Linked DNA regions of Drosophila melanogaster. The protein of the gene in region 2 interacts with the protein of the main gene of each other region in a pairwise test. Each region holds a gene or a part of one and is shown on either strand. Other genes may lie near its edges.

Region 1 (8,301 bases), on a different chromosome or scaffold from region 2:
AACTCCTTGAATAAGGCATGTTTGGGCTAGTATCAAAATTTTAAATTATTTAATACTTAATTAGTTTGTTAGAGCTTAAAGCACTTATCGGGTTTTTTTAGCACAGCGTTTATGGTTATAAAAATACAAAATAAGCTTGGTTATCCTTGATTTAATATGTTTGTGTTGCCACCACTTTTTGATTGTTATTGGCTTACAAATCCTCGGGTTTTGTCACTTATTTCAAACACTTTGGACACAGTAAATCGGCAGATTGCTATTTTCATTTGTTTGGCTTTCATTTGCTTCTCATGGATTTGGTTTGATTTTGTTGCAGCTGGAAACTTACAGAACTTGTACGGGGCGTTACACTTATTTTATCATGCCGACAAGTCCAAAACGACGCTGTGGTAGCCACCCGCGGCTACTTCTGCACCACGTACGCGTTTTCTGTAGACTGATTCGGCTTTTCGGTTTTCCCAATTGCCAGCCTGCCGCCAAAGGATGCAGTCACCCACACCCGCGCACTCGAAAGAGAGCGAGAGCCCGCGAGAGAAACCACCCCCAGAGCCAACCCCAACCTCCAGCGGGCAACGCTCTGTTGCTATTTTGTTTACTTCTCGCCGCGGGGGCGTTCTACGGACTAAAAGGAGAGACACCCAAACGGTCTAGTAGGGGAGAGGGTGGTAGAGCTTGGCAAAACATGTGCTAGTCTTATCCACTAACTACGTACATTATTTGGCGCCCAACGTGGGGCATTTCAATCGAAAATTCATTTTTGTTTCCGCTTGTTTGGTCTAAGCATCTAAATTTGGCTTGTAACCTCTACAATCTAAAAAATTAAATATGCATTTATTTTAAGTTTTAATACAACAATTTTCAAACATTTGGTCTATACCCATGTCATATTTATTTATATGTATGTATACTGCGCGCCCACTTGATGGATTCGCAGTAAAAGCACACATCCATATAAGTAAACGAATCCTACCCTCTGCTCACAGGACATGCGTATTAGATAAGCCAAATATAAAAATGACACTCAGAGAACAACTCTCCGGACCATTTTTTGTTGTTGTTGCTAAAACAGTTTATCAACACGCCCGAGTCTCTGATAAAACAATCATCGTTTATGGTGCAACACGCTTCAACCGCCGCCCCCCAGCAGCATAATTGAGATATAGTCCAGTGACCAGACCAGTAACACCGAACTGGGGTGGCTAACAAATCGAGTCGAGTGGAATAGCAAGGAGAACAGTGAAAAGTGGTGGGAGTAGACTCAAGTGTAGAGTGGTGTGGACATGTTCTGCAACCGCATGATTAGAAATTGAGCAAAGTCGATGATAAAGCGGCGGGTGGAGCTGAATCCCTTACATGTATAGAAAAACGGGTGGGAAGCCGAAACTGGGTTAAACCAAAACCCTTCCATTTAAATGCGTACCCAATGATTTTTTAGCTTGTTTATGACAAGTAATATCAATGCACAAGCGTAACCTTCGTGCGGCTCGTTTAACTGCCTATTCCAGGCTGCTCAGCTCACGCAAACTCTTCTTAAACAAAAAAGCACAGTTATCGCATTTTCTTTTAAACTACAAAACATAGCTGAAAACTACAAATAAACATGTCGACGCATCGAATACATAAATAAATCTTTTTAAGTAATATATATGAATTCAATTTAAATAAATACTAAATCCAAAAACTGCGTTACACGGCTTTTTCAACCCTTACACGGCTTGTTACTCAAACTAAAAACGATGGCTTAAAATTATATTTATAAAAAGCAACTACTTCTACACAACGTATACTTACTCTACACGAATAGAGTATCGAAAAGACGAATAAGAAATTAAATATCCGCTTAGCACGATATATTCAAATTTTTTGTTGCCTTCCGCCCCCGAGGACAGCAAATTTTTATTTGACTTTTTATATGCCATATAAACTAGGGCCGTGCGTCAGTACGCGACTTTTCAATAAATCCCGCCCTTAGCGGCTAAACTTATTTATCCCCCTTGCTACTGTTTGAAGTTTTACGCTGTCGGTGCTGCAGAAGCTCCTGGTATTGCTCTATGGATCCGTCTTCATGCTTGGAAGTAAATGAATCCGGCTTTTCAACCTTGGCCTGCTCCTCGCCGGCGGTGACTTTGGTGCGCTTCGATTTCTTGAGCTTGTCACGGACGCGTTTTCCCAAACGCGATTCGGCCAGCACCTGGCTGACCTTGGAGCTCTTCATGTAGCGTGAACGCCAGGACTACAAACAAAAGGATTATTGTGTTGAAAAAAAGGTACTGTTTTGAGGAGCATTTAAAAATACCTCGGAGTCTGCCTGCTGTAGTTTGTCGCGTTCATCCTCGCTTGTGTCCAGGGATATGACATCGTTGTCCAGTTCCTCAGGATCCTGCATCTTCTCCTTTTTCTCGCTTTTAATGCTTACCCAAGGTGAATCGTCATCCTTCGTCATTTCCTCAATCATTTCTAGATCCCCACCTATTGAAATGACGTCGTCGTTTTGATCTTCGTCGTCAAGGGCAGTTGGCTCGGCTGCACTCGGCTTCTTTGGCTCTGCAGGGGGATTAGCTGGGAGAGCTTCTTCCGACGGTGGTTCCTTATCCCCTGTTTTATCTAGCTTATCAGACGTATCCGATACTTCTGGCTTATTACTTTCCAGTTCTTTCGAAATAGCTGCTGCTTCTGACTCTGTTGGCTCATCTGGATTGGCTGGGTCAACTACCTTAGCTGGCTCTTCGGGTTCATCGCGCACTTCTCCCTCCTCTGGCTCGCTCTCAACGACTGGGGCTGGTGGGTCCGATTCGACTTGCTTAGTTGTAGTTGTTTCAGTTGTCTTCTTTTTGGTGGCCTCATCATCCGTACTGTCGCTGATCAGCAGTGTTTCGGGTTCCGTTTGTATAGGTATCACATCTGGTGAGGCTGAACGTGATTTGGAACGTGGCAGTTTGTTTAAATCGTTAGATGCAACCAAAGTTTCGGATGAAGTAGTAGATGTTGGAGGTTTGACTTCCTTTTCTGGCGACTTTGAAGTCCGCCTATAGTTTCTTTTGATCTTGATTCTTTTGCGGGGCGCTTCCTGCTCCTTGCTGCTGCTATCAGGCTGGGATGGAGATGTTGGTCTAGCTGATTCCTGCGATTTGCGCTTGCTCGAATCCGTTTTTTTAGTGCTGCGTTTATCCTTTTCCTTTCGCTGTACTTTCTCCACTGGTACTTCGTCAATATCATCATCTGACTTGACCTCTATTTTGGTGATTGGCTCCATTGCCAGTTGGGAGCGGATGGCCCTGGCACGTGCCTGAAGTTCCAACAGTTCCAGCACGCTCATTTGACCACCCGCTGTGGGAGAAAAGAATACCTTAGTAACCTGAACAAATTTGCCGTCAAACGGGCGCACAGTCTCAGATGGCTGTTGTTATCATACTTTCGGTCGATTTCGATTAGTTTTTATACATTCGTAAAGTTTGTACTTACACTCTTTGTTTTCATTCCCATTGTTCGTTTTCTTGGATCTAAGCTTCTTCTTGGCTGAAAATCAGACAAGATTGACACAGATTGCATTACAAATTGTGCTAAAGTATACATAAATTAACTGCACGCCAGGATGCCGATCAACCAGAAAGAAGTAACGCCGCAACTAGACAGTCAGACAGGTGAGGATCAGGGGGAGGAGGAGGAGCAGCCGGAAGACGAGAATCGTCTGGAGAAGTTTACGGTGCGTCTTAATGGACAACATGACCTGGAGCAGCGTTTAAAGGATTTCAAAGCGGCATGCGAGGCTCACGAGAAGCACGCCAGACGGCGAAAACGGAAGAGATACTATCATTTGGGTCTTGTGGCCAAGCTGGTGACGGAAACCACTCACGACGAGCTGCGACGTATGCTGGAAAATGGAACCTACACCTTTCACGTGGATACGGTGGGCAACAAGCCCGATGAACTGAAAGCCATTTTGGACACCATGAACATTGCGATATCGGCGCATTCTGCAGAGAGGGAACTACGTCTGACAACTGGCTTGGCTCTGGAGATTAACGGCGAGTGCTGTCGCGTTGGGAGACTGAGGAACAACTGCACCGTGATGCTGGCACGAGGTGGGGTGGTCACACTCACCACGGATGAGTCCTACCGCTACAAAGGCTTTAAAGAAATAGTGTACGTAATCAATCTGCGGTGTTATCTCGCCTCCGTTCAGTTGGGCGATATTGTGATGATCGGACGTGAAGTTAGAGGTAAGGTGGTGAAGACCCTGCGGGAAGCACTAACCGTGATGATCATAGATGCCGGTCTGGTAGCCTCCTACGACTTTATAGAGCTTCCTAGACAGTGCCACGCTCTCGATCCGGACCTATATCCCGATCTGTACATGAAGGACCTTGAGATGGCCGCGTCTTTGAATGCCAACTATGTGGTTCTGCCCAAGATACGATGCAAGAGCTTTCTTCGTGCCGTGCGGCAGACCTTGAACTCGGACTTCAACCTTAAGTTGATCGGAATGATAGATTTCGAGTATGTGCGAAGTAACATGCTTGATTTGCTAGGCATCATTAAGCTTGTGGACTACATTTGGATACCCGACATGTTCAACGTAAACTGTTGCGTATATAACTACATTATGGAGGACGTGCTTCCGATTTCGCAGTGCCAGAAGAAGCCAGTCATTGGCACTGTTCCGCTGGAGCGTTGCAGTGATTTTAAGCGATTTGAGTTGCACGATTTCCTGTGGAAGGTCGACGCTATTCACATCCAAAAAAGTCCATGGTGCAACAAATATCCGCTGATAGTCAAAAAGCTGATGCCCATAAAAGATTATCGTGTTGGCGCGGTCCAGAATAAGATGGTACTGAAGAGCATCCTAACCTCATACCAGACCATTGTGAATTTTATTATCCGCACAATTAGCTCGATTGAGTGTCAAGCCATATTTTTGTTCACCACTTGCGAGACCGCCAGCGTGGCCCTTTCGCGTATTGAGATCTATTGCCCAGTATATGTGATGGTGCCGCTGGAGGAGACAGATGATGCGGAAACCATTACCTGCAAGGTGGAGCTCGCTCGTGCGCTTCATTTGCGCCGTAACATGCACCCGGTTCTTTACACCAAGGATCTCAACGAGTGCAGCTACAGTCCGATTGAGTTTGGAGTGGACTTTATGAGGAAGAAGGGCTGCTTGGAGGTTGGAGACTTTGTAGTTACCCTGGAGGTGGGCAAAGAGGATAAGGATAACGTGGTCATCGGCATAGGAGAGGATGTTTGCATCCTGCGGGCATTTTACGTGTCGCCGCTCTTTGCCTGCGAGAAGTTTAAGTACGGTGGATAACTTTACGGCGTGCAGTTGTGCAGATTACACAGATAATAAACTCTAAATTAAATGTATCTTATGCCACCAACTCACTTTTTCGGGATTCCTGACCTCCGATGTCGCTGTCGGATGATATCTCCTCTAGCGAGATGTGTTCTGAAATGAGACTTTATAATGAATGGTGGGTTTATAGGGCAAGGAAGTGATTCAACATACCTTCTTTGTGCTCCACATCGGAATCTTCGGAGCTTTCAGTGTCTGTGGGACATTTGGTGTTTTCTATTATGGATTTTAGCCGCTTCGTAGACAAGCAGAGTAACTCCTCCAGACAAAGTTCCTCGATTTCGTCTAGTGGCGTTTTCTGCGTGAAATTATTGATAAATAGCTTTTTATAAAAAGAACTATAACACACCTTTAGAAACTCTGGGGCTAGGTTCAAAATGGTTTTCGGTTTTAAGGTCCCAAATATCTGTTTCACCAATTCCAGGCGGTCGTCTATGTAATGGGACATGGGATGCAGCTTTCGTTCCTCCTCGATCTTCTCCTTCTTAATGCTAATGGGCTTGGGGATTTGGTCGCCCTTGCTGGATTTTTTCGCCTTCAAGCCACTCATTTTATCCAATTTGTTGTCAAAATAAAAACCAAGTAATTTCGGTCTTTCGGGCAGCGTTGCCACTACTATTTATACCTTGTGGACAGTGGGACGAAGGCAACAATTTTGTGGGATTAGTGTGAATGGCTCTATTTTAAAATTCAAAACGCAAAGAAAAACGAGCAGTATTACGAAAATGTATTTAATAAAAATTATTTCGTATACTAGGGAATGGCACATAGAATCAATAATTAAAAATGTACAATGGTGTATATTGCCTTTAGGACTGTATTATCCACTGTGCGCTGTTGTTAACAGTGTTATTGTTTTTTGTACAGAACAGCTGATTATCAAGCGGTGTAGGTTGAATTAAATTGTGGGAGTGTTAGTTGTCTTAAAATTGTTAAGGTAAGTTGATGTATTAATTGAACTTGTAATCCATCAGTGTAAAAGTGTTTACGGAAAGCGGTGATAGCAATTTTATATCAGCAAACAGTTTCTTGTCGTAGATATCATGTGAAATCCGTTAGTAAGGTGTTACGTGAGAAATAGTACTTGTGGCAGAATTTTAGAGTTTGGCTTTTATTAATGGGGATCTGTTACTAGTGTAAGTTACATTTAAACACATTAGTCCAATATATATTTAGCATTTTCTATATTTTTGTTTTTTTGACATGCCGCTAGAAAAGTAACAGAAACTGTTAAGTAACAGTGATGGCACATTTAGGTTATTTCATTGGGGAGCGTGTTTTGACAACTCTGCTGCGGCCACACTGAACATATGTTCCGGGGAGAATGGCTGCGATTTCGCGTCGGTAAAAATAGCAAATACTCGTTAATGTGCTGTGGGAACGCTTCCTCCCCGGCCCCAAAGTGGCCCCGAAGAAAGTGAGCAAATGTGCGCGCCGCAAGATAGTCGCCGCCGAACAAACGATAGTGACGAAAGTGATTTAATTCAACTACCAGCACTCCCGCAAATACGATGAGTATGTCGCGCGGCGGCAACACAACTCTGGACTTGCAGCCGCTCCTGGCGGAGAGCGATGTCGGAAACAGGGAGCTGGAGGAGAAGATGGGCGGATCGGCGGATCGGTCATCGCTGCTCGATGGATCCGGTTCGAAGGAGCTGAGTCACCGGGAACGCGAGGACTCGGCGTTGTTCGTCAAGAAGATCGGGAGCGCCTTGTTCTATGGCTTGTCCTCCTTCATGATTACGGTGGTAAACAAGACGGTGCTTACCTCCTACCACTTCCCCTCGTTCCTGTTCCTCAGCCTCGGGCAACTTACTGCTAGCATTGTGGTCCTGGGCATGGGCAAGCGCCTGAAATTGGTGAACTTTCCCCCTCTGCAGAGGAATACCTTCGCCAAGATCTTTCCGCTGCCACTGATATTTCTGGGAAACATGATGTTTGGACTGGGTGGCACAAAAACCTTGAGTCTGCCCATGTTCGCAGCCCTACGACGCTTCTCTATCCTGATGACCATGCTGCTGGAGCTCAAGATCCTGGGACTGCGACCTTCGAATGCGGTTCAGGTCAGCGTATACGCAATGATCGGTGGAGCGCTGCTGGCCGCCTCTGATGATCTGTCCTTCAACATGAGGGGCTACATCTATGTGATGATCACTAACGCCTTGACCGCCTCGAATGGCGTATATGTGAAGAAAAAACTCGACACCTCGGAGATCGGAAAGTACGGCCTAATGTACTACAACTCGCTGTTTATGTTTCTGCCTGCCCTGGCCCTCAACTATGTTACAGGGAATCTAGATCAGGCGCTGAACTTTGAACAATGGAATGACTCAGTGTTTGTGGTGCAGTTCCTGCTCAGTTGCGTTATGGGTTTCATCCTATCGTACAGCACCATCCTGTGCACGCAATTCAACTCGGCGCTGACCACCACCATTGTGGGATGCCTGAAAAACATCTGCGTAACATATCTGGGCATGTTCATTGGAGGCGACTACGTCTTCTCGTGGCTCAACTGTATTGGGATCAACATCAGCGTGCTGGCTAGTCTGCTCTACACGTACGTCACTTTTCGGCGGAAGCGGGCTCCCGATAAGCAGGACCACTTGCCCAGCACCCGCGGCGAGAATGTCTAGCTTCATCTTAGCTCAAACTCAAGCCAAAGCCATACGATATGTTAAGTGTATTCCGTACTGTGTACTTCAATTGCGATCTGCGATTCGCGACAACGTTCGTATTTGATTTTCCTACAACCACACAGCGCATCGTCTCTGTACATATATCTAGCTATATTTCTATAAAAATGTAATTTAGCAATTATGTAATTTTAATCACTTTGTACATTTGTCTGCATGCAACTGTTTCCTGCATCGAAAGTGTCATAAGAAATAGAAATACACAGACTTCCACTCCTCCGCCTACGGAATGGGTGGGCCAGATAAACAATTGTG
Region 2 (7,989 bases):
CCTAATAACTTAATGTTAATGTAAAAGGAAAAAGTACAATGTTCTTTTCCAGCCCTTGTGTGAACAGGTCCATACCGGCAGTCATCAAACTTTGGTCACACTGCCGTGCACAGCGTTTTGTTGCCGGCGATTTGTAAAAAAGTTTGTTATTGATTACATTATTTTAGACATCATGACGCAGGCAACAGGTGATGCACGCATGCCAGACGAGGAAAGCGACCTGCTGCAGATCAAGCCACTGTAAGGAATCTTGATTTAAACCAGATAGAAGCTCAAGGGTAACGCTTATATTTCAGTGGTGCTGGCCAGGAAGTGGGACGCTCCTGCATCATGTTGGAATTTAAGGGCAAGAAGATAATGCTGGACTGCGGAATCCATCCGGGATTGTCCGGCATGGATGCCCTGCCCTACGTAGATCTAATAGAGGCGGATGAGATTGATCTGCTGTTTATATCACAGTAAGTACTGCGGCGATTAAATGGGCATTGAACTTTTAATGGTGAATGCTTATATTTATCAGTTTCCACTTGGATCACTGCGGTGCCTTGCCTTGGTTTCTCATGAAGACCAGCTTTAAAGGCCGCTGCTTTATGACCCATGCCACGAAAGCCATTTACCGATGGATGCTGTCCGATTACATCAAGATCAGTAACATATCCACCGAACAGATGCTATACACGGAAGCCGATCTGGAGGCCTCCATGGAGAAGATCGAGACGATCAATTTCCACGAGGAGCGCGATGTGATGGGCGTACGCTTTTGTGCCTATATTGCTGGTCATGTTTTGGGTGCCGCCATGTTCATGATCGAGATTGCTGGCATCAAGATCTTGTATACTGGTGACTTTTCGCGCCAGGAGGATCGACATTTGATGGCTGCCGAAGTGCCACCGATGAAGCCGGATGTTCTTATCACAGAGTCCACCTACGGCACTCACATTCACGAGAAAAGAGAGGATCGAGAGAATCGATTTACCTCGCTGGTGCAGAAAATTGTTCAGCAAGGCGGGAGATGCTTAATTCCAGTATTTGCTTTGGGCCGTGCCCAAGAACTGCTACTTATTCTGGATGAATTCTGGTCGCAGAACCCGGATCTGCACGAGATTCCCATCTACTATGCCTCCTCTTTGGCCAAGAAGTGCATGGCTGTCTACCAGACGTACATCAATGCTATGAACGATCGAATTCGACGACAGATAGCTGTGAACAATCCCTTCGTTTTCCGCCACATTTCCAACCTGAAGGGTATCGATCACTTCGAGGATATCGGACCCTGCGTAATCATGGCGTCGCCGGGTATGATGCAGTCGGGATTGTCGCGAGAGCTCTTCGAGAGCTGGTGCACAGATCCCAAGAACGGAGTGATTATAGCCGGTTACTGCGTGGAGGGCACTTTGGCCAAAGCCGTTCTCTCCGAGCCGGAGGAGATCACCACACTGTCGGGCCAGAAGCTGCCGCTCAACATGTCCGTCGACTACATATCGTTTTCGGCTCACACGGACTACCAGCAGACCAGTGAATTCATCCGCCTACTAAAGCCAACGCATGTCGTGCTCGTCCACGGCGAGCAGAACGAGATGTCGCGTCTGAAGTTGGCCCTGCAGCGGGAATACGAAGCAGATGCAAGCACGGATATAAAATTCTACAACCCGCGAAACACACATGCCGTGGATCTTTATTTCCGTGGCGAGAAAACCGCCAAGGTGATGGGAAGCCTCGCAGCCAAGAACTCGGAGGTGGGAAGCAAACTCTCAGGTGTTCTGGTTAAGCGCGACTTTAAGTACCACCTCTTGGCTCCTTCTGATCTGGGCAGTAAGTAATAGTTAGTTAGTTTCTTTGTAAAAATGTCGATTCATTTAAATAATTCCCACAGAATACACGGATATGAGCATGTCTGTTGTAACCCAACGCCAGTCGATTCCCTGGGGCAGCTCGCTGAGCACTCTAGAGCTACTGCTGGATCGCATTGGAGCCGGATGCGTTGAGGTGCTGGAGGCGGAGCGAAAGCTGCGCGTGTTCGGCTGCATCGAGCTAACTGTGGAGCAGAAAATCATTGTGATGGAGTGGCAAGCGACGCATGTGAATGATGTGTACGCCGATGCCGTTCTTGCCTGCATCATGCAATCGGAGTTGGGCGGAACAAATCTGAAGGGTGCCACAAAGCAAACCAAGTCAGAGGACTCGCGCTTTCGGGAGTGCCTAATCGAGACGCTACAGGACACCTTCGGCGACAACTGCGTGCCAAAAATGTTCGAGGGCGATCTGCTGCCAGTGACGGTGAGCGGTAAACGTGCGGAAATAAATCTGGAAACCCTGGTGAGTGTTCGTCGAAGGTGCTTTTTAAAATCGAAAAATATCGTTAATCTACAATCTTTCCAGGCCATCAGCTGTGCCGAGGATGATGTGCTGCGACAAATGCTCAATACGACGGTTCAGAAGTTACACCAGACCCTAGTCTCCGCTCTTTGAAAACCATTCTATTCCGCTTAATAAATCTCCTTGTGTTGAAATGTTCTTTTTATTAATTGATTCAATGTTGAAAGTACTATAGTATGCATGAGCGAAATGGTGATTTTTCATTTGTTTCAGCCAGAGTAGTTTCAGCGCTGGGTACTCTTCGCAATCTGCTCTTTGAGCATGACAATACTGACCCGTTGCTCGGAGGGCAGCTGCGCAATCTGTTCGTCGGACAGCTGCAGTACCTGCATGATGAGGGCAGCCTTCTCCTGGTCGGAGGCATCCGAGGGCAGGACTCCATGGGCGCCTAGTCTGCTCTGCAACTGCTGAGCGGCCGCCTGCTGTTGTTGTGTCGGTGGCGGCGCTTGGGGGATTCCTTGTGGCGGCGCCTGCTGCTGAGGACCAGGTCCTGCCCTTAACCTGGGATCCATGGGACGCTGGCGCGGATCGCTGGGATAGGGGGCCGGTGGCGCCTGCGGAACGCCCTGCTGCTGCTGTGGGGGCATCTGGGCACGAGCTCGGGGATCCATCAGCGGCGGTGGCACTGGATTGGGTAGAGAAGCTCGCAAATCCTGGTCCATGCCACGGCCCATCATCCTGGGATCCATCGGCATGGGTCCACCCGGCACCATGCGCAAATCGATATCGTTCGGATGGACATTGGCCGGGAAGCCAGGTCCGGGAACGGGCATTGGTGGCTGGGGAGCCTGTTGCTGTTGCTGCGGGATCTGCACCTGCTGTTGCGGAACCTGTTGCTGACCCATCATGGTGTGATTCCCCGGCCCCTGGTGCGGATTGCCGCCCAAGACGGGGGGCATTTGGTTGGCCTTGAAGAGCATCCCGAGCGCCTGCTGAGGGTCCACGATCCTCATAACCACCATGGCCTGGAGCAAAGCGTACGCCAACTGAGGATTGAGCATTAGCATCTGGCGTGCCTCCGATGGATTGCTCACGATGCAGAGCTTCATCTGCTTCATCAGCTCGTACATTTGCTCCGGCGGCAAGGAAGCCACCGTTTTGGTGATGAGCTCGGGAGCATCCTCTGGTTCGCAGGGCTCGCCATAGGGATTCTCCACCTGGGGTCCCTGAAGCAGCTGCTGCATCTCCATGCGCGACTTCTCCGTACACGCGTTGTCCACTCGCAGTGTTCTGCCGCCGATCTCATAGCCATTCAGATTCCGCATGGCACTTAAAGCCGTCTCCTGGTCCTTGTACTCGCAGAAGCCAAAGCCCTTGGGTTTGCCACTTTCCCGATCAAAGACCAGTCTGGGGGATTGAGAATAGGAGGTTTACAGTGAGATATTGCATGGCTCTAAGTAGGGAACTCACTTCAGTGACAAGACCGGGCCCACTTCGCTGAAAATCTCCTTTAGCTTCTCCTCGGTGGCCTCGTAGGGTATGTTCCCCACAAAAACCGACCGCATGGACTTGTCCATTATACTTTGTTCCTGCGCCTTATCTGCCATATCTGTTGTTTGTTATTATTTACTGCACAAACTCGACAAAATCTTAGCAAACGTTGACAAACTTGTCTAAAAAATTCCCTGCGTTCCGGCTTGCTGTTTCTTCTTCTTCCTTGAATAATTTCCCTTACCAGGGATTCATACTTTTCATATACTTTTTGGGAAATAAAGCGGTATGGGACGCAAAATATTAAACAAAGTGTAATAACAGATACGCAAGCCATTTTATTTTATTTTCTTATCTAAACACCTGAGAAAATAATTAACAGTATTGGTCTAATTTTTGGGATTCTCATCCATTGCCATCACTTAGAAACGTAGTATTTAGCAAGAAAATAGCTAAATGCCCTGCTTAGCCAAAAATACCACCACTGCTAGTGCTGGTAAGTTCCCGCAGCCCGCATACGTTTTGCAGCACTCCAACGCCTGGTGTTGTAATTTTTCTTGTCGCAAGGTGAAAACGATTTAAACGGTTTTTGATAGTGAAAAGTGCACCAATATGCACGAATTGTACACCAAATTGTAGATGAAAGTGGCGTTTATTCGTTTTCTATGCGGCAATAGACAAAAAACGGCTCGAAGTGCATGAAAAACGTGCTTGAAAATATTACTTTGTGTGTAGCCACACGCACTCCAACACACACAAACGCACACACACACAGACAGAGGGAGATAAACGCAGCGATGGCCTCGCAGTCGCACTCGCACATATAAAAAGCTCGCTTGTATATTGGAAGAAGGAGCGCACAAAGCGGAAGACGAGAGGAAAGATTTCTGTGTCATTGAACGAGAAAAAGAAGAGAAGAGAGCCTCCTGGCTCCTGGTCCTCCTGTTCCAGTTCCTCCTCCAACTCCACTTCCTCTTCATCTTTAAGCGGCCGCAGGTGCACCACGCTCTTTACATTTCCAAGGATACGCTCTCAGCCGCTCTCTCTCTCGATCGATACTGGTAATTAGCTGGCGTCCTCTCTTTGTGGAAGTGTCATTCCATTCCATGGACGAAACGAAAACGAAATCGATGGCAATGGCTGGTGAACAAAAGCGGAAATATGTGCATTTTTAAATTGTGTGTGTCTGTAATTATGTGAATAATAATCAGCAGAAAAAAATCGTACAATAAGTGGCAAGATCAGCGACATTAACGCACACAAACAAGCGCGCGTGTGTGCACACTGGAAAAAAGGTTGGCTGGCGATTGTTGTCGCTGCAAACTGGGATACTGGAATAAATCATAATGCATTTACGCACCGTGTGCTCCTCAATTTTTCGACAGTCTGTGTGTGCATGTGTGCATGTGGGTGTTGTGTGTGCGTGGTGTGTGTAACCTTTGGCAAAGGAAAAATCAATAGCAACAGACGTAGACATTTGTTTGCCGCTGTTTATGTGCAGCCCTCGCATTGTCCTTCGCCCCCAAAACAAAGAGCCACCCTTGCAGAGATGGCCAAATCCCAAAAAAGAAACAAGTGAATGTTGGTCTGCAGACAGACTATAAATAAAAGCAAAAGTTATCGCAAAAGGCAAGCAGCAAAAGGCAAACCAGATGAACGGCCAATAACTCGTCAGCAGGCTGGGTCTGGGTCGTTGCCTCTTTTTTTCCGATTCTGATTCCGTTTCTTCCTGCTGCTCTGGCTCCCCGAGAGAAAAAAGCTGCTCCAGAAGTTGTCTCACCCATCTGCAACCGGCATTCCAATCCGCCATTTCCATTGCCCAAACAGGACCTTCTAATCAGAATTCTTATGTTGCTCTACTCAGAGAATGTGGTTAATATGAACGGATTCGAATATAAGACATGGCTTTACTAAATCAATAGAATCGATTTAAAATGGCACCTCTGATTTCGAAAATGTGGAATCGACTTTAAGGGTGACTGTGTTGAGGTTGGGTCTGCTTTGTGCTAGAAAAGTTTATTGACTCTTGTTCTCTCATTTTGATCCTTTGCGATCCTCAATTATTAAATATGCCTTGTATGTTTAATTGTACTTATTTGGTAGCTTTCTAAAGAACAAAATAATTACTGGTAAACCAAAATCATTATAATCATCATATTAGAAATGCACTCGCTGTTGAAACAATTTTATTTTTATCATGCTTTTATTTTGTTGGCTTTTAAAGAAATTACTCACTACAAGAAACTTCCAACGAACGTTTTTTTACTGATTATTTGTGCTACCCCCGATAGTAAAACATTTGTGGTTTTAATTGAGTTACTTTCAACAGTTAGGATGCACGATGTGCGAAGGGTTCTTCCAGTCCAAATCACCTTTCTATAAGAAAAGTAGGGTTTATTATTAAATTATCAGCTTTATAAATTTGGATTGGTTTTGTAAAAAGACGCGTTTGTTAAGATTAAACATTACGCATTCCGTGGATACTTGATCACTTGGATCGCCGGACGGCGCATTCTTCGCATATCGGGTATCGTTTCACCGAAGACGTTGATATCGGAGCGCAGAATGTGCCCAGGGACTGGTACAGTAATTTCTGGCACCAACATTCTGACATTCTTTATATTCTCCAATGCAGCTCACCCGCGTCGAATCAGAGGATTGAGCAAGATGGACGCCAAGCCAAGGAGATACGCTGTTTTATGACTCTGAAGGGCAACCACGCCAGTCATCCGTCGCACTAGAAAGCTAGAAGCCAGGCTCCCAGAGAGCAGGAGCAGCCAGTGAGCAGGAGTAGGAGTAGGCAGGAGCCACACATAGAACAATCTAAAATCGTCATCATGGTCGACAACAGTGTCCAATGCCCCGTGTGCACATTGTACCTGCATGCGGGCATGAATCTCTCCGATCACTTGGAGACCCATCCCAAGGAGCAGGTGATCAAGGCGCTGGTGCAGATGACGATCGTTGGGAACGGTGGCAACAGCATGGGCAGCGTTCTCGCTGCCGCCATGTTGACAGGAGGATCTGGAGGAGGTGGATCCAGCGGCGGCGAAGCCAGTGCTGATGAGAAACCGGCCGTCTTATCACCCCCTTCTGGCGGCGATGTCAAACCAGTCGTGGTCAATACCATATCAGCAGCAACAGCGCCTGTGCTGCCACCAGCACCACCACCGCTATCCTCCTCCCTCGTGGCGGCCTGCTCCAACGGAGCCGCCTCTTCGACAACCAGCTCCACACCCACCTCCACCTCAGCAAGCAACAGCAGCAGCCTCAGCAGCAGCAAACCGAGCAATCCACCGATGAAAGCACTGAAATGCTCACCGCCCACAACTGAGGCGCGAGCCAGCACATCCGCACATCCCACCACGAGCAGCGTGTCCACTTTGTACCAGCCAGCGCAGGTCACTCCGGATTATCGCTTCAACCAGCAGCAGCAGCAGCCGCAGACGTCGGGCTTTGGGCGTGGTGTCACCACCTCAACAGCCGCGCTGGTGATTCCGCAGGTGCCTCAGCAGCACTTCCTCGCCAGCCATCAACAGCAGGCTCACTTTCCACACCAGCAGCAGTCCCCGCAGCAACAGCAGCAACATTCGCAGCATCAGCCTGCTCTGAAGTTCAGCTACGCCACAGCTTTGCCCCCACCTCCGCCGTTGCAGGTGAGTCCGAGTCCCAGAAGTTATTTGTCCCGTCTTAAAGGGTGCAATCAAGATTTAATGCAGTACACCTTTGAAAAGAAAGGGGTAATATTATTTACGAAAAGTATTAAGAAACAAAATTAAAATGTATACCCACTGTACCCTTTATGCTTATATAAATTTAGTATTTATTTTCGAATTGAATTCCGTTCTTAAGCAACTCGAATTTCTTTACAGCTATTTACGCAGCAACAGCAGCAGCAACAGCAGACGGTTGTTCCACCGCAGACCCAGCAGCAATCGCACCAGAAACCACCTCCCGCCTATGGAGCCGCCATTAGTCAAATACGATCTCAGCACAACCAAAACAAACAGCAGCCACAGTCCCAAAGCGTGGCCATGCAACCCAACCTAGCCCTGGCACCAACGACGACATCAGCGGCTTCAACTTCACACGCAACTGCAGCTGTTAAGCAGCCCAGTAAACCTCATACGGAAGTATTCCTGAATCCCCCACCACCGCCATCGGCACAGCAACAGTTGCAGA
Region 3 (6,901 bases), on a different chromosome or scaffold from region 2:
TGAATCGATTTCCGCCTGAATCGCCGTCTTTGACTGACCCAGCATGGTGGCGGCGTTGAGATCCTGGCGGTACGTCGTTGCCATTAGGTCCGCTGCCTTCTCCCAGATCTTCAGACGGTCTGCAATCGACACACGGTCCCACTTGGGCTGTGTTTCCACCGCCGTTTTGATGGCCTTCTCGATAAGCTTCTTGTCGGCGTAGTAGAAGCTGGCCAGCTTGTGTTGGTGGTCATGGGGCATGACCTGGTATCGAACCTCCGGCGTCTTGTACTCCTTGCCGCCGATCACGATGGGGATGTCTTCGCAACTCGAGGCCGTGCCCTTTAGAGCCTGCTCGAGGGCCTTACGCTCCTTAGAGTCCTTGAGATATCCCAGGATTGGCTCATTGGCGATCGGGAAGTCCTTCAGTTTAAGGTCCGGTATAACGGAACCCAGACAGCGTGTCGAACTGATAAAAATGAAGCGCGTTCAATGTAATAAAACTAATAAACTACTAGCTAGTGTATGCATAATATGGTTACTTATACATATTGTGTCAGTTGTAAATTATGAAATATAAGGATATAACCTCAGGCATACCTTTTCAACAAGCTCTGCTGAAGACTAGAGCATCTGGAGGAGGAACTTCGCATCATTCGCAACATCTTGTCGGGATTTGGGGCCTGTCTCGTTCGCTGCCGGATTATATAAGCGGTCTCTCAGATTCTTCGTCGTCGTCGGCTCGTACCACCTAGAATTTTGCTATCTGAGCGATAGGCCCGCGAAAAGAGCAAACGTTTGATTAGTATTCATTTATCAGCAACCTTGGCAATTCACTGGGGGTCCGCGTCAAGTCGCGTGATTTTGATAACCAGCCAAACGTGAAGCTCCCGACGACGACACACCCCCCAGATAAGGCGCAAAACAGAAACACTGCGAACCAAAAGAATGTGCACTTGCAAGAAATTCTAGAAGGTGCACTAACTTGGGCAGTTGGTCAACCGAGCGGATGACTGATTTATTTTCAGTTTACTTTATTATCGATAACCACGTTCCCTTTCCCATGCTCACACACGCACTCACACACAAGCGCACTCAGAGCGCTTTTTGCACAAGCAGAAGCTAAAATTTGACGAGCATCAGCTGTTCTGTCTACGAAGCGCACAGTGGGATGAGAGCGTGTCAAAGCTGGCACAATCTAGTTAATCGCAAATTAGTAAATTTATGAATGCTGTTTTATTTGTCGAGTGCCTTGAACGCTGGACTAAAAAATAAAAATTATCTTAAAAACATTTTACACTATGTTTAGAACAAGGCATTGCTACCCAATTCGTGTGCACTGTTCGTTTAAAAAGTGAATGTTTATTTGGCTCAGCTTGTGTCTCGATGAAAATTTAACCAACTGCCCAAAAAGCGAGATTGCAATCTTGTAATTTAAATTGCGTGCTGTTGTCTCTTTCCACTGTGCGGTGGCTACGGAAATTTCCCATTGCCGAAACCAGAAAGATGAAGAGAAGGTGGCTGAAGGGGATGTGGGCAGAAGTACATACGTATGTAGTTCTTGTGTTTTTTAACTGACGCTGCCTTGATTTATGAAATTAAGCGGCACAAATGCTGGGGAAGGGGTGCAATAGCAGCGAAAATGGTAGAGAATCGAAAAAACACCCCACGGTGCGCGTGAGCAGCCCCTGTGAGAGGGATAGAGATGGCTGATAGAGTGGGAGAGGAAGAGTGCGGGAGAAAGGTGGCGAATATGTGGAACAAGCTCTTTTAACGTAAGCATACTTTGGCTATTTGTCTTCCTCTTTCCACTCACTGCTTGTTAAGTGCTTAATAATATGTAACGATGAACTAAAGACATTGATATTAATGCGAAAGGAGAGGAAGTTTATGGAAACGCAGGGAGCGGGAACACCGAGAAATTGCCTTTGGAGGCCAAATGTAAAACAAATTTATTTACTGCTCAGCTGTAGATACACAAGCACACACACAGGCGCAATAGAATGCAGTCGGTTGGCTTTGTTTTTTTGCTTTTCTTATTGGCCCCAATTACGCAATACAATGTTTTTATGCCGCCTATTGGCCTCCGCCTTTTAAGTCGCCGTCCATCCCATTTGAACCTGCAATTCGACTATTCGGCGCTTTTCCACTGATTTCGGGCTTACTTTGTGTGAGTTTCAGGCGACGGCGGCGGAATTCGGCGAGAGCACGAAGTGTGGTGTGCCTTTGTTTTGTGTTTTGCGAGACTATTGGTCGGTCGGTCGAATTTGGACTTGGCTAACGGCCGGGAACTATCGGCAGACCGATACAATTTTGCCCCCCTTACTATCGTGCACCTTACAACACTGTCCATAGCTATCGATAAGGCGCCAAGAATGCACATGGATCAAACTTTGTCGATTTGTTATCACGAAGCAAAAAATATTTTTCGGTATATGGTTATATATGGGATCACAGCCTCAAGGCTTTTTTATAACTATTAAAACGACCAGATATGCGTACGTAGTTATTGACTCAAAGCTAAAAGCTGAGAAAAGGATCTAATGATCCCACAAAGAGTCATGGCAGCATAAACTTGGCGGAACATACATAGGGTCAAATGTGCTAAAAGACATACAAATTATCACATCAGTTCCGGGAGCTAATAAAATTATGGTGGTATACATGAAGGCACTAGTTAGGTGTACAATTTTTTACCAGGTACACTAGTTTTGGACACGTCATAAGAATAAGTCTTGACTTATAGAACATAAATATCATATTTATTAGCACTAACACACTTATGGGGTAGGATGACTTAACCGTATACCTATCACTAAACTATATCAGGTTTCGCGCTTCCTAGCCGTAGTATCCGCTTCCACCCGCACTGGCTGTTGCGAATCCTCCACTGCTGCTGGCGTAGGCCACGTCTAGAGGAAGAAACAGGTCCAAAACACTTGTAGATTACTTGTGTGCTAGGCACCGAGGTGCTATCAGTCGGGAAACTCACTCATGCCATTGCCGCCGTAGGGATATCCTCCATAGGGGTATCCGTACTGCCCGTATCCACCGTACATCGAGTACGGGTTGTAGCCGGGATACGAGTAGTACGGATATCCGCCGTAGCTGTAGGGGTATCCGTACATGCCGCTGCCGTATATGTTCCCGTATCCCGATCCCGCTCCCGCATTAGCGCCGCCGTAATAGGGATAACCGTAGTATTGGCTCGCGGATGGCTGCAGGAAAATGGCGACCAGGAGCAAACCGAACCAACAACATGGAGAGCGGCTCGACTGTTTCACTGACATGATTTTTCTGGCCATGTTTATCGTGTGTAATCCTCGAACGTTGACTGAATGCAAAAACCCCGGCATTAACTGATTTTATAGAGTTTGCCGCCGAATGTTTGCAATTTTAAAGCATAAAACGCTTTTTTAATGGAGCTTAATCGGGCGCCCATCAGCGGCTGCTCGGTTTGCTCGTTCGTGCGTAACCCAGCCGGCGTATACGCAATATTTTTAAATCCCAATATAAACGCTCTGCAAACGTATGTATTTAGTGCAAGTTAACAACAAGAGAACAAAACAAAACAAAACTATTTGGCTCTTTTTTGCCTATCGCCGCGATTACTCATCCCACATCTCGTCTGATTTGTGATTGCCGTTTTGCTATCAATTTAAATTAGTCAGTCAGCCGCTTTTTTTGCCAGGGGTTCACATTTATTCTGCGTAAACACAGTCATTAACCTTAAAATTGGTTGATGGTCCGCCTAGTCATGTGCGATGCCAGTGGTGCTTTCCACTTCTTTGAGGTTCATTGCCGACCTGGACCGTGGTCAATGCTCATTCACGCCCTTCGGATGAGGTCAACCGTAATAACTCCGATTCTGATAATTGGAATCGTATTGGTTTTCGGATTTTCCACTGCGATCAGCTTGGTCGTTGGCCGAGAGTTCAGTTTGAGGGACTTTTGGCTACAGAATTTTGGCCTTGGTGGTCATGCATCGACGCTGAAACTATTCCACAATGCGAATCTGTCGGTTTGGAAAGTGATACTTGAGAACTGCATAATGGAAAGTTCAATGTACTTATAGATTAATTTATTCTTCTTGGCTATGAAAGTAGGCTTACAACTTAGTAATTTAGTGATGTTAGATACGGTGGGTTTACACATCTCGCATAGTAAATAAGCTTTTAAAAATGTGAAAAACGCAAGTCGTGGGCAATTGCAAGGAATTGTTCTCAATACACTTTGTAGCTCTTGCATATGTGCCCGAAAAGTATACAACATGCCATTCATAAATATTTAAGGCCTTTCCCGTACCCAACTCATTCGTGTTCGTGTAGGTGTGTGTCATTACACTGGCCAACAATGCAAAATGTCACAATTGGAATTGTCCCGCCTTTGGGTTCCCATGCAGCTGACGTTTGCCTTCCGCCGCCCGCTCACTCACTCTCTCTCTCTCTCACTCTCTCTGCCGGGGTGGTTTCTGACTCTCTCTTCTTTGCCGCACTACTCCAGGTAGCTCAGGTAGGTTTGAGCCTCGTAGGTGTTGCATTCCCGCTGACCTCCAGTAGTTGAGTGAGTTGCTCCGGCCGGATGCCGACTACGCATGCTCAAGCCTGGATGTGCACGGATTTCGGGACACCCTATATTAAAGTAGCCTCAGTTGTTTGAGCCGAGTGACTTGCTCATAAATTCGGCTTGGTAATTTGTGTACTATTTAAAAGGGTTTCATAAAAAGATTGTAATTGAGATCTTGTGCAAATAAATTAAGCTTAAAACTATTATCAAATAATAATATATTTTACAATGACCCAAAATAATATTACATATAATGCATAGTGAACACGCCTTATATTCTTAAAAAAAATGTGTGTCTGTAAGTTTTATTTATAAGAAGGAAATTATGGTTATATTACGACTTTGAAATTCTATCTCTCGACATTAAAAATGCCTCCTTGAAAGTTAACATTCTAGAAAGGGTACGCTTCCCCAGTCCCCAATTTAAGGACTTAATTTTCCAAACCCCAAACGAGCAATTTTCATATTAAAAAGTTTGTCTATGCCGAGCCTAACTCCCGTCCCCACTTTCCGATGGAAAAATTGAAAGCTATCCCTTACAAAACTTCTACAAACTTTTCATTCATTTACCCTCATACTTTCGCATCATATTTGGGACAGTAAAATGCTAATTGTTTGTCCGAAACGAAAGAAACCTCCTTGTAGCCATCAATTTTTCAGCATTCTTACGTGTAATTAATTAAAAATTTGATGCAGCAGCAACTTTTGTTTGCTGTCGAAATTACAGCAGCAACAAAAAGCTAATTAAAACTTAAAATCATATAGGAGTGCAACTGGAGCCGTGCCGTGACCCACAGAGATCGCCCACTCGAGAGTCTCACTCACTGGCAGGAGAAACTCACTCAAAGCGCCGAATTGCAACTGAAGTGTTACGCATACGCCGCGTGGGACCGAGCGAGATGCCATCCTGCTGTGAGTGAAAGCCGGTCGAAAAAATAAAGAAAAAATCAATTAAAATGCACTCGAGTGCACCGCGCTTCTGCACTCATTTTTTGGGTTTAGCAAATTTGTAAGAAATTTTTAAACGAAAATAAGCGAGGCAGAGAGTGCTTTCTCCCTTTCTCGCCATATCTACATCTCGCTTGCTCCTTCCCTTTCGCTGCGTGTGTGTGTGTGCGTGACTGTGTGTGTGAGAGGCGGGGGGATATTTCGATTCAGTTATTTGTGCAATTTCGCTCAGTCAAGTTGTGTGTTCCTTGTGCAGTGTGTGCGCCTGGCATCCATCAATCAGCCGACCGAGTTTGACGAAAGGAGATAAGATACCCAGAAATTACCCAACAAATTTACAAGATTCCTCCAGCCTTCCCCCGCCTGGCAACCGATATCAGCGGATTAAGTGCATAATCCTTCAACAGCAAAACGCCGCCAAAGACAGTGAGGTAAAGAGATTGAGAGCGGGACAGCGACCACGGGAAATAACAGTTTCGACAGCTAATAACACTCGCTCTGTGCCTGTGCGTGTTTTGCCTCTGTGTTGGTGACTGTACTTTTTGGCGCCCAGCAACAAACACTAAGAAAGCAAACAAACGGAAAACATTCAAATTAATTAACAACATTTTACCGCAGCGAAATTTAATTTAAACTCTGCGCCACCAAATTGACAGGTGAGTTCGGACTGCTGAACAAATATTCGAAAACTATGTATTTATAATGATTTATTTGAAATTACGAGCAGTTCTTGTTGCCATGTTATGTTAATGGGTATTTGATTGATATTCATTGGCCGATATATTAATTATGCCACATTTATGGGATATCGATATTATCTGGCACTCTATGCAGATGAATTTGAACAATTACCAATTTTAATACATTTATTTCATGAAATAATTCTGGAACAGAAGTCACCCATTAAAGTAAGATTACTTCTTTAATCTTTTTAGAGATTTTCATTTTAAAAAATGTTATTAATGCAAAAAGTAATATCCATATAAAGCAATTCCAAAAAAATTTGAACAACATCGACTTTTCTCGTGCAACGTCGTAATGCTATTTGTTCCTTTCGGGGCAAGACAATGGTCCAGACACAAGGACACAGACAATACAATTTGATGGGAGCCTAATTAGAACTCCGCTAGACGTCATAATTGGGGCCGATGGGTGTGTGGTCTGCGGAGGGGCTGGTCGCGGCGGAGGATGTGAAAGGATCTTGAGCGGGAGCTGGCTACAAGTGCATTAAGTAGGCGAAGACTGTGAAAGCACCCGCTCTTTGGGCGGAAAATTTTCACTTAGTATCCAGGGACCAAAAATCCGGGCAACGATGTACAGGGGGGGAGGGGGAGAGAGAGAGGAAAAGGCGAATGTCGAGCACAAAGCAACATCTGCACAGAGCAAAAAATAAGAAGAATAGCGGGAA
Region 4 (8,470 bases), on a different chromosome or scaffold from region 2:
TGCCCCAAGCAACAAGTAGCCCATAGCATTTTCAGGCTCCGATTTAAGTAGGCGCTGCAATAAAGGCATTAGGATGATGCATAACTGGTATGTTCTATGGTGACGTCACTTGGCACTTGGGTATGGCTTCCGCATGCTTGCCCAGCTTTATGGTCTCCCGAATGTCCTTGATCAAGGCTTTTGACTCTTTTACGGCGCTCATTGTAAATATTTATATTTATTTTTCATCTATTCCAAACAAACAGTGATGGGTAACTTGATTTTGTATAACGCCAGTGTTGGTCACTGCTGCATAAGGTGCAACAGCTGTTAATTAAATTGTGTGCTAATTAAGTGTCAGTAAAAATGCACATTATCTGCAAGTCGCAGTGCGGAAATCGCGCTGCTTTGAAGGTAGTTCATAAGTTAAACAGCCCCTAATAAATCCTAATAATGTTGTTTGCCCAAAGCGACCCAAAACCGGCGATGCCCTGTGCAAGGAGTGCTTCTTCGCAGCCTTCGAGGCAGAGATCCATCACACAATCTCCTCCAGCAACTTGTTCCGACGTGGCGAGAAGGTGGCCGTAGCGGCCAGTGGAGGCAAGGACTCCACGGTCCTAGCGCACGTGTATGTCGTACCATTCCCCCCATCGCACCTCTCTAATCCAAGTGTTCTACAGATTAAAACTGCTAAACGAACGCCATAACTACGGTCTGGAACTGGTGCTCCTTTCCATAGACGAAGGCATCACTGGATATCGGGATGACAGTTTGGAGACAGTGAAACAGAACCGTGACGACTACCAGATGCCACTAAAGATCCTGTCCTACGAGGAGCTCTACGGCTGGACCATGGACCGCATTGTTGCCCAGATCGGCCGTTCTAACAACTGCACATTTTGCGGCGTCTTCCGCCGACAGGCCTTGGATAGAGGGGCCAAGCTGTTGGGCGTTGATAGCATAGCCACAGGCCACAATGCAGATGACATTGCGGAGACTGTCTTGATGAACGTGCTCCGTGGGGACACGGCGCGCCTGCGACGCTGCACGAGCATCCGCACCGGCGGGGGCGAGGATACCATTCCCCGAGTGAAGCCCCTCAAGTACAGCTACGAGAAAGAAATCGTGATGTACGCCCACTACAAAAAGCTGGTCTACTTCTCAACGGAGTGCGTATTCGCCCCCAATGCGTATCGCGGCCACGCTCGAGCGTTTCTCAAGGATTTGGAGAAAGTGCGACCATCGGTTATAATGGACATCATCTACTCTGGCGAACAGCTTCGCTTCAAGGACACGGTAAAGAAGCCCGAGCGTGGCACATGCACCCGATGTGGCTTCGTTTCCTCACAGCAGCCGTGCAAGGCGTGCGTCCTTCTCGAGGGTCTAAATAGAGGATTGCCGAAGCTGGGCATAGGCAAGAAGTCGAAGGGCGAGCGAATGATTGCCAAGCAGAACCAGGAACTAGCATTGCGGGAGCGAGCAAACTTAGTAAAAAACGATTTTTAAGAACACATATGAATTTTATTTATTCGTGATTCCACAAGATACAAATTGTGTTCATCCAAGGTTGCCAACCTGAAAAGATAACAACAGGAACGATAAGTTTGGTTTCGCAGGCTAATTTCATTAATACTAGAATGCATTATGAAGCTCAGTGCCAAGTTTTTAACCAGGGCCCATAACCAGTCAAACAAGACGCTCTATCTCCAAAAGAATATTGAAGAAGATTGCCAGCGCTTGACCTTTATATGGTGTCTGTGAATGGTTTAAGTGATCATCATTGAAATCTTCATTTCCGCTAAACAGAATCTCTTTTCGTACTAACCTTTTTAGATATTGGAATTTATAAATGAACCATTGACGGATTCATTTTGCTACGCATGTTTCACATCTGTAAAAAAAAAAAAAAAATCAAAAACAATACAAATAAGTAGTTATTCAAATATAACTCAATCGTTTAAGCGATTTTAAAATGATCAGTTAATTATATTAGAAAAATTTGAATCACAACGGTTCATTAGAGATGTCAGAAATTTTAAAAGCATCATTTACATATTATTTCGTTCTAGAGTATAATTTACCTTTTCAAAGGAGAGATCCTTGTTTGGGCATATGACGCGACAATCAAAGGTGGTTTTCTTGAACACTGCAAAATGACAAAAATTAAATGGTTATAAAGAGCAGCAACCGATTTTCTAAAAAACTTATAAAACACAAAAATAATAAAATGAAGGGGTTTCAGTAAAAACTCGTATAGCTTCATAACATTTTTCAGTCGAAAGATGGTGTAAGTTTCATTCATCACAACACAATTAATTGTCCAATTTACACATAAAATTTAAACTAAATTTTTTTATTATCTTAAACCGAATTATTACCTTTTTCACTGTGTTAGTGAGCCACGTTTGATACATGATATTGACGTTGCAATGAACTGAAATTAAAATATATTTGTGTTATTCAAATGTAACAATCTTTTTAACAGGTTTTTTTAAAGCGTTTAAAATTCAGTGAAAACTAGTATAGCATCAAAATGATTTTCAGTCGAAAGATGATGATAGGGTCATTCATCACGAAATTTTAAGTAGTTTTCATAAATGAAGAGAATAATTACCATTTCACGCTGATAACCTCATTTATATTCCGAATCCAAATCGAAAGACCGATCTGCAAGTAATAGATGAGTTCTCATAAGTCACGGCCACAAGTAAAAATTATATTTAGTTGAGAGTCGAATGTGTCAGAATTAGTTATAACTGATTTGAATCACAACGGTTCATAAGAGATGTCAGAAAATAGAATTATAAATCATCAGATAACTGAGAAGGGCTAATTTGGGATTTGGAACGAATTCTTACCGTCTGTCTCTCTCCAACTCTGCCAGAAAACACGTGTTGAGCATAAGAGGCCATTTTGTTTCTGAAAATGGAATGCTGGGTTAGCCATATTCGCAAATACTAAACTTAGCTAGTTAAGAGGGTTTAAACTGTCAGCTTCACGAAAATAATATGCACCGCAAACTCGGGTTTTTTAAATTTGGGTTATGCTTGGGCAAAGCACGTTTTTCTGCGAGCAAGTAAAAAGCACTAGCTAAAGTAGTAGTTTCTTTACACCAGCGACTCATGCTCGCATGAAAATATTAATATTATTTAACAAAAATATAAATAAATACAATGATGAAACTTACCAATTCACAAATGCCAGCGCTTTAACGCAGCGCCTAGTAATCACAGATTCACCTGCAATATAAGCAAACGCATCGTTTAGCTAACGTTCTTTTTTAATTTTTAATTTGTTGAGACTGCAATGGAATCTCGACCACGTGACTGCAATTTGAATTGCAATCGGTGAAGTGCATTTCCCTGCGCATCACAAATTAATCTTGCAACATTGAGTTCTGCAAACAAGCCAGTAGAACTCGATTTGCAGTTATAATCGCTGCACTCACCGGTCGCCTATCATATCTATAATACTTACATTTTTATATATATTTTTTTAATCGTTTCCAATGCGGTGATGTTCGCTCCACGTTCTTTAAAAAAGTGAAGAGAAGCCAGTGAAGTTGGCGGCGATTGGTGGTGCAGTGTGCACGCTGCTTGTACTTTCAAGAATACTGAAACGCCTAACGCCTGCGTTTGTGGTCTGTTTTCAAGGTGGCGCACTGTTATGAAAAACTGATTTACCAAAACAAGTTCGCATTGAACGATTTAAGTAAATACATACAAGTTATTGCCCCATATTAAACTTAAGTCAATACTTGATTTAATTTAATAAAGAAGAAAATAAACAAAGAAAAAGAATTCACACAAATAAAACACTAATAATATTTTATGTTTAATAAACTTTAAATAAAATGAATAGATCTTAGACAAATACTACCCGACTAGAAAATACTCTTACTCAGCTAGTGGATATGCGAACACGAAAATTTATCATGATAGATACTGCTAAATAAAATGAGAAAAAATTAAAAATTGTTCATAAGTGTGTTTTGAGCGTTTTGTAATTATAAGGAGGGGTGTGGCAAAGGTGCTCGACTTGGCTATTGATCCTGATCAAGAATATGCTTTTGTATACTATTTTACACTACGAGTAACGGGTGTAAAAACTCAAAAGCTGACCAGTGCAAAGAAGTTTTACTTCGATTTATCCGGGTGGTAATATTCGATTGCAGCACTTGCAGCTCTACAAACGCGGTGGTTCTAACTGTTTTTCTTGCGGACCAGACTGACGCGGCGCCAAGCTTTTTTTGTTTCTATATTTTAGGCTTAATTGCGAGTGCACGATGACGGATTTCAATGCATCCGGAGTCATTCTGTCTTTGGGTACGTAAAAATGTCTGCTCAATTTGTGATCGTCCTTAAAATATTCGTTTTTTTTATCTGACAGATGAGTACTTCGAGCAATGCGTAGTACCAAAACCCAGAATACCACCACGATACTCGAGTAATGCAGCCCCCAAGGGCGATAATCGCCAGCTGGGGCACTTGCAAACCTACAAGGACCAGGATCAGGGTGGCGATACCGATGTTGAAGTTGAAGATTTCCAGGGTTCCGTGCTAGCAAATGGCCAATCAATTCTAACCGAGTTCGATTCCAATGTTTCGCAAATCAACTTTGAGATTAATGACTTTGATAAGGTGTACTGCGAGACGGAGTCTCAAAGCTCGGAGGCCTCACAAGGCTCAGCCACGTGGCGCATGAATGGTAACAACGTCAACCGGCCATCAGCGGCGGCTCAACTGGGGCTCAGTGACCAGGCACGTGGTCACGTTAAGTCGCGCCTTGATCTGAGAGAAGGCTCTCGATTTCGTAATAATTTTAACAAGAGACGCAATCGTCAGTATAATCACCATGAACGGAATGAATTCCATCGTCATCAGCACCAGCCCCAGATTGCCAAGAAGGAGGTCCTGCGCTACGCCTACAATGCCTTCAGCAGTCAAGAAATCCATTCAAATCAACAAACTGACCTTGACATTGATGTAAATAAACATTTCCAGTATACTCACCAGGCACCCACTGATCCGCGTAGCAGCCGCAACTACATGGGACCTGACCACTACGACTGGACCGGCTCCACCTCGATCGGCTCTTTAATCGATTCGGTGTCCCACATTCCGGATAATCGTGTCAAGAACCATTTGCCTTGTGAAACCATCACGCGTTACACGGACAACTCGATGAATGTGTTTGCTGGAGAAGCGCAGGATATTAATAAGCCGCAGACTGACCTGAAACCCGCAGCAGTTGATTCCGAGAGCATGAAAATCAGTAAAATGGCCCACAACGTGATGCTCTTGCTCAAGAGCGTTGCCCAGCAAAACAACCAAGGAGACTCGTGTGACATCTTCAAGGTAATATTCGAAATCATGTGTAATCTAATACCACACAATAGAGATTTGAAAGAAAGCCTTACAAACTGCACGTGTAAGAAAAAAGGCATTAAGCTTCAAGAAATGATTCATATTAACTTTGTATTTTTAAATAAGTTTACGGTTTTCTTATTTAAGAACATCGACTGGATAAACGGACCGATGGAGGAGTCCCGAAGTGTCGCATTGCCTGAACGTGAAGGAGGAAGGGACCAACTGCAACGTTTTAACTAGAAAACCGACATCAAGTTGCATTTAAGGGATCTATCTGACTTCTGTTATTTCTAAGTACTCAGCAGCCCATGTTTAAATTAAGTTCGCCGGATTGGCGGGCACTTTCTGTGCGAATTGCGAGTCGACGCAGGCAAGAAGAAGACGATTTCGACGATGCCCAGTGAATGGCAGGGGTGAATAGTCGCTTTCTGCCTCTTTTTTTTATATATATAACACATATTTCGGCTGATAAGAACAGGCTGGGCCTCTTATCAGTAATGCACAACAAGAAGTACACACGGACGAACGAGATGTGAGAAGCGAAAGCGGACGAAAATAGAAACAAACGGCGATAAATTTACAGCGAAGGCGATTTTATATACATACATAACTGATGTGCCGGAGACGAACAGAGTAATAATCAGTTAATCTGCCAAGCACCCAGAGAGCGGACGTGAAAATGATCATCGGGATCGGATAGCGGGATAGTTAGTAGTGATCGTAACTTAGGATAGTGTGCTAAACACTAACCTCAACCTATGTTTTGTGCTTTGTCGAGTGTAGAACGAACACGCAGTTATTTTGTTGTTTGTGCAAAAGCATTCGAAAGTGGCCAACTGAAGAAAGAGCCATCGATTCTTTGCATTTGGTTACTTTTATAGCGTAGTCTTTTTCCCAAACGATTTTCTTAACGAATACGAAATAAACTGAACACAGTACCCTAAATGTGCGTTGTTCGTCTTCGGTAGTGCCAAGCATGTTGAAGTCGAAGCAGTTGCTCCAACAGTTTTCCAAAGGTAAGGATGTGTGGGTTTCCGGAGCCGAAATGGCACAACTTGAGGTGTTTTACACACCCTAGCTATCTGTGTTTTCGTTGCCGCCTCCATTATCAGCCTTAGGCATGTGCTGGAGTAAACTAATACCATATCACCAGATCCGTAGGCTCGCCTTGACAGCCTTAATCGCATCTGACGCCGACCAAGCCGAAGATTATCAGTAAACACTTTTTCGCCAAATTCTTTGTCACGATGAACTTTCCCCACGCACACTGGCTGACAAAATTATTCGCTCAGAAAGTGGATATTATCTTAAATATCCTTTTTGGTTTCCGGATTAACTTAACTTAACCAACTTTTCAACAAGTATTGAACGCAGATCTCAAAGTGTGTGTCACTAAACTTTGTTATGCTATAATTATATTGATTATAAACAAACAAATTTTACATACTGGATAGCTTGATTTTACTTATCTTTAATAATGGTATTTAAAGCTCACTGCAGTATGTCAAACCATTAGGAAAATCTACGAAAAACATGATTGGTACAAACCAAATACATAACATTGTTTCATTAAAAGTTTTAGAGGGAAAATACTTTCCACTTGCACTGTGTTGTTTATCAGCTGTTCCGGGAAATTTCCATTAAAACCTAGTAGTTACACATCGATTTCGGCCGTAGGATGCTTCAAAACGGCAGGAAGATTATTCCCGAGGGTTTGAGTAAATTTCCCGTGACGAGGACCCACATTTGATCGGACTAACGAGGTCTTTCGCTTGCAATTGCCATTTTGAACAGAGTACGCTAAATATACGCCGACCAACTTCAAGCTAAAGCGGGCCCTGGTCGTCACCAAGCTGTCCCGCTATGAGTTCGAGCAGCTACGCCACCCGGAACTGTCTCCGGATCAGCTCCAGCAAAAGCTCCGTGACCGGGGCACCGACGTGGAGATGGTCCTCCATCTGCACAAGGTGCACAAGGACTTCGAGCGGCGGGTCGTGCAGAGCTTCCAGGACGTCGGCTGCGAGGTGAAGTTGTCCAGCAGGTGCGTACCCATGTAGTCCTCCAATTCAGTGATCGGAGTGCAGCTCAAAGCAACGGAGGCCATAGGTACATGTACTCAAGTAAATGAGTAAATGTACTCAAGCCATGGAAATGATTTCATTGCTTTGAATGAGATTAGTTCTATGAGGACATGTACCCAGACATCCACACCTTTAGGCCTCCAATCACTGCCACCAATGTTGTGTTGCGTGCCTCGTCACTTCGTCACATACTATACCTATATGTATCTTCGATTTGTGACTACTACCCGCTACAATTGATCTCCACCATCTTCACACACTTCGTGTCTCCCATGCGGCACCTCACCCTGTGTGTTGACTTTACTAAACGAGCAGACTTGAATTTAGAAGCTCGTTGAGCAAGGACGTCATGAGCTGGGCGGACGTCATCGTGCCGGTGGGCGGCGATGGCACTTTCCTTCTCTCCGCCGGACGCGCCAGTCCGCTCTTCGCGCTCAGCCAGCAGAAGACGCCGATCGTGGGCTTCAACTCGGATCCGCTTCACTCGGAGGGCCGACTCATGCTGCCCAAGCACTACTCGGATAATCCGGCCGACGCCGTTTCCCGCATCAAGAGCGTAAGTCCTGGAACGAGCCACTTCTCACAATTCATTCATTAAATATTCAAATTCCTGGCAGGGAGATTTCAAGTGGATGCATCGCTCGAGGGTGCGGACTACGATGCTTGGTAGCAACGGCAATATTCCGGAGCCGACTGACCTTTTCCGCCACACGGAGGTCAAGATGGAGCAGGTCAGCACCGCACCCGAAATGCTGGACCAGGACATGGCCTACAAGTACAAGGCCAAGATGAAACGTGTTCTTCCTTACTTGGCTTTGAACGAGGTAAGACAATTAGGATTCTATGCTGGATTGCTTAGATCTTACAAGCTGTCTACATAGGTATTTATTGGCGAGCATCTATCGGCCCGAGTGTCCCACTTGCAACTGGTGCTGGACCACCAGGACGTGGTGAACAAGACCAAATGCTCCGGACTGTGCGTCAGCACGGGCACGGGCTCAACATCCTGGCACACCAGCATCAATCGCATCACAAGCCGAG

The links.
Region 1: the proteins of CstF64 (region 2) and CG12229 interact in a two-hybrid assay, tested with the Drosophila melanogaster proteins (one large-scale study listed by BioGRID).
Region 3: the proteins of CstF64 (region 2) and CG14563 interact in a two-hybrid assay, tested with the Drosophila melanogaster proteins (one large-scale study listed by BioGRID).
Region 4: the proteins of CstF64 (region 2) and Boot interact in a two-hybrid assay, tested with the Drosophila melanogaster proteins (one large-scale study listed by BioGRID).

What each region holds. Positions count from the first base shown.
Region 1 is NT_037436.4:17,431,539-17,439,839, reverse strand, and holds CG12229 (uncharacterized protein), read left to right. Parts: upstream 1-3,408; 5' UTR 3,409-3,462; coding exon of another isoform or gene 3,463-3,516; 5' UTR 3,517-3,592; coding exon 3,593-5,308; 3' UTR 5,309-5,368; downstream 5,369-8,301. Other genes in the region: CG32176 (uncharacterized protein), read right to left, coding at 1,982-2,233, 2,297-3,327, 3,463-3,516, 5,384-5,446, 5,507-5,651, 5,703-5,903; frc (fringe connection), read left to right, coding at 6,865-7,986.
Region 2 is NT_033777.3:18,655,639-18,663,627, reverse strand, and holds CstF64 (cleavage stimulation factor 64 kD subunit), read right to left. Parts: upstream 4,011-7,989; 5' UTR 3,924-4,010; coding exon 3,787-3,923; intron 3,724-3,786; coding exon 2,601-3,723; 3' UTR 2,502-2,600; downstream 1-2,501. Other genes in the region: Cpsf73 (cleavage and polyadenylation specificity factor 73), read left to right, coding at 173-240, 297-458, 521-1,812, 1,874-2,316, 2,380-2,469; CG31224 (uncharacterized protein), read left to right, coding at 6,645-7,463, 7,680-7,989.
Region 3 is NT_037436.4:21,839,087-21,845,987, forward strand, and holds CG14563 (uncharacterized protein), read right to left. Parts: upstream 3,301-6,901; 5' UTR 3,270-3,300; coding exon 2,972-3,269; intron 2,892-2,971; coding exon 2,821-2,891; 3' UTR 2,722-2,820; downstream 1-2,721. Other genes in the region: P5CDh1 (delta-1-Pyrroline-5-carboxylate dehydrogenase 1), read right to left, coding at 1-448, 580-644.
Region 4 is NT_033778.4:9,090,326-9,098,795, reverse strand, and holds Boot (bootlegger), read left to right. Parts: upstream 1-4,137; 5' UTR 4,138-4,264; coding exon 4,265-4,304; intron 4,305-4,368; coding exon 4,369-5,336; intron 5,337-5,492; coding exon 5,493-5,588; 3' UTR 5,589-6,290; downstream 6,291-8,470. Other genes in the region: CG8777 (uncharacterized protein), read right to left, coding at 1-54, 110-202; Ctu1 (cytosolic thiouridylase subunit 1), read left to right, coding at 346-393, 450-607, 660-1,485; Nadk2 (NAD kinase 2, mitochondrial), read left to right, coding at 7,027-7,066, 7,143-7,389, 7,745-7,985, 8,047-8,253, 8,311-8,470.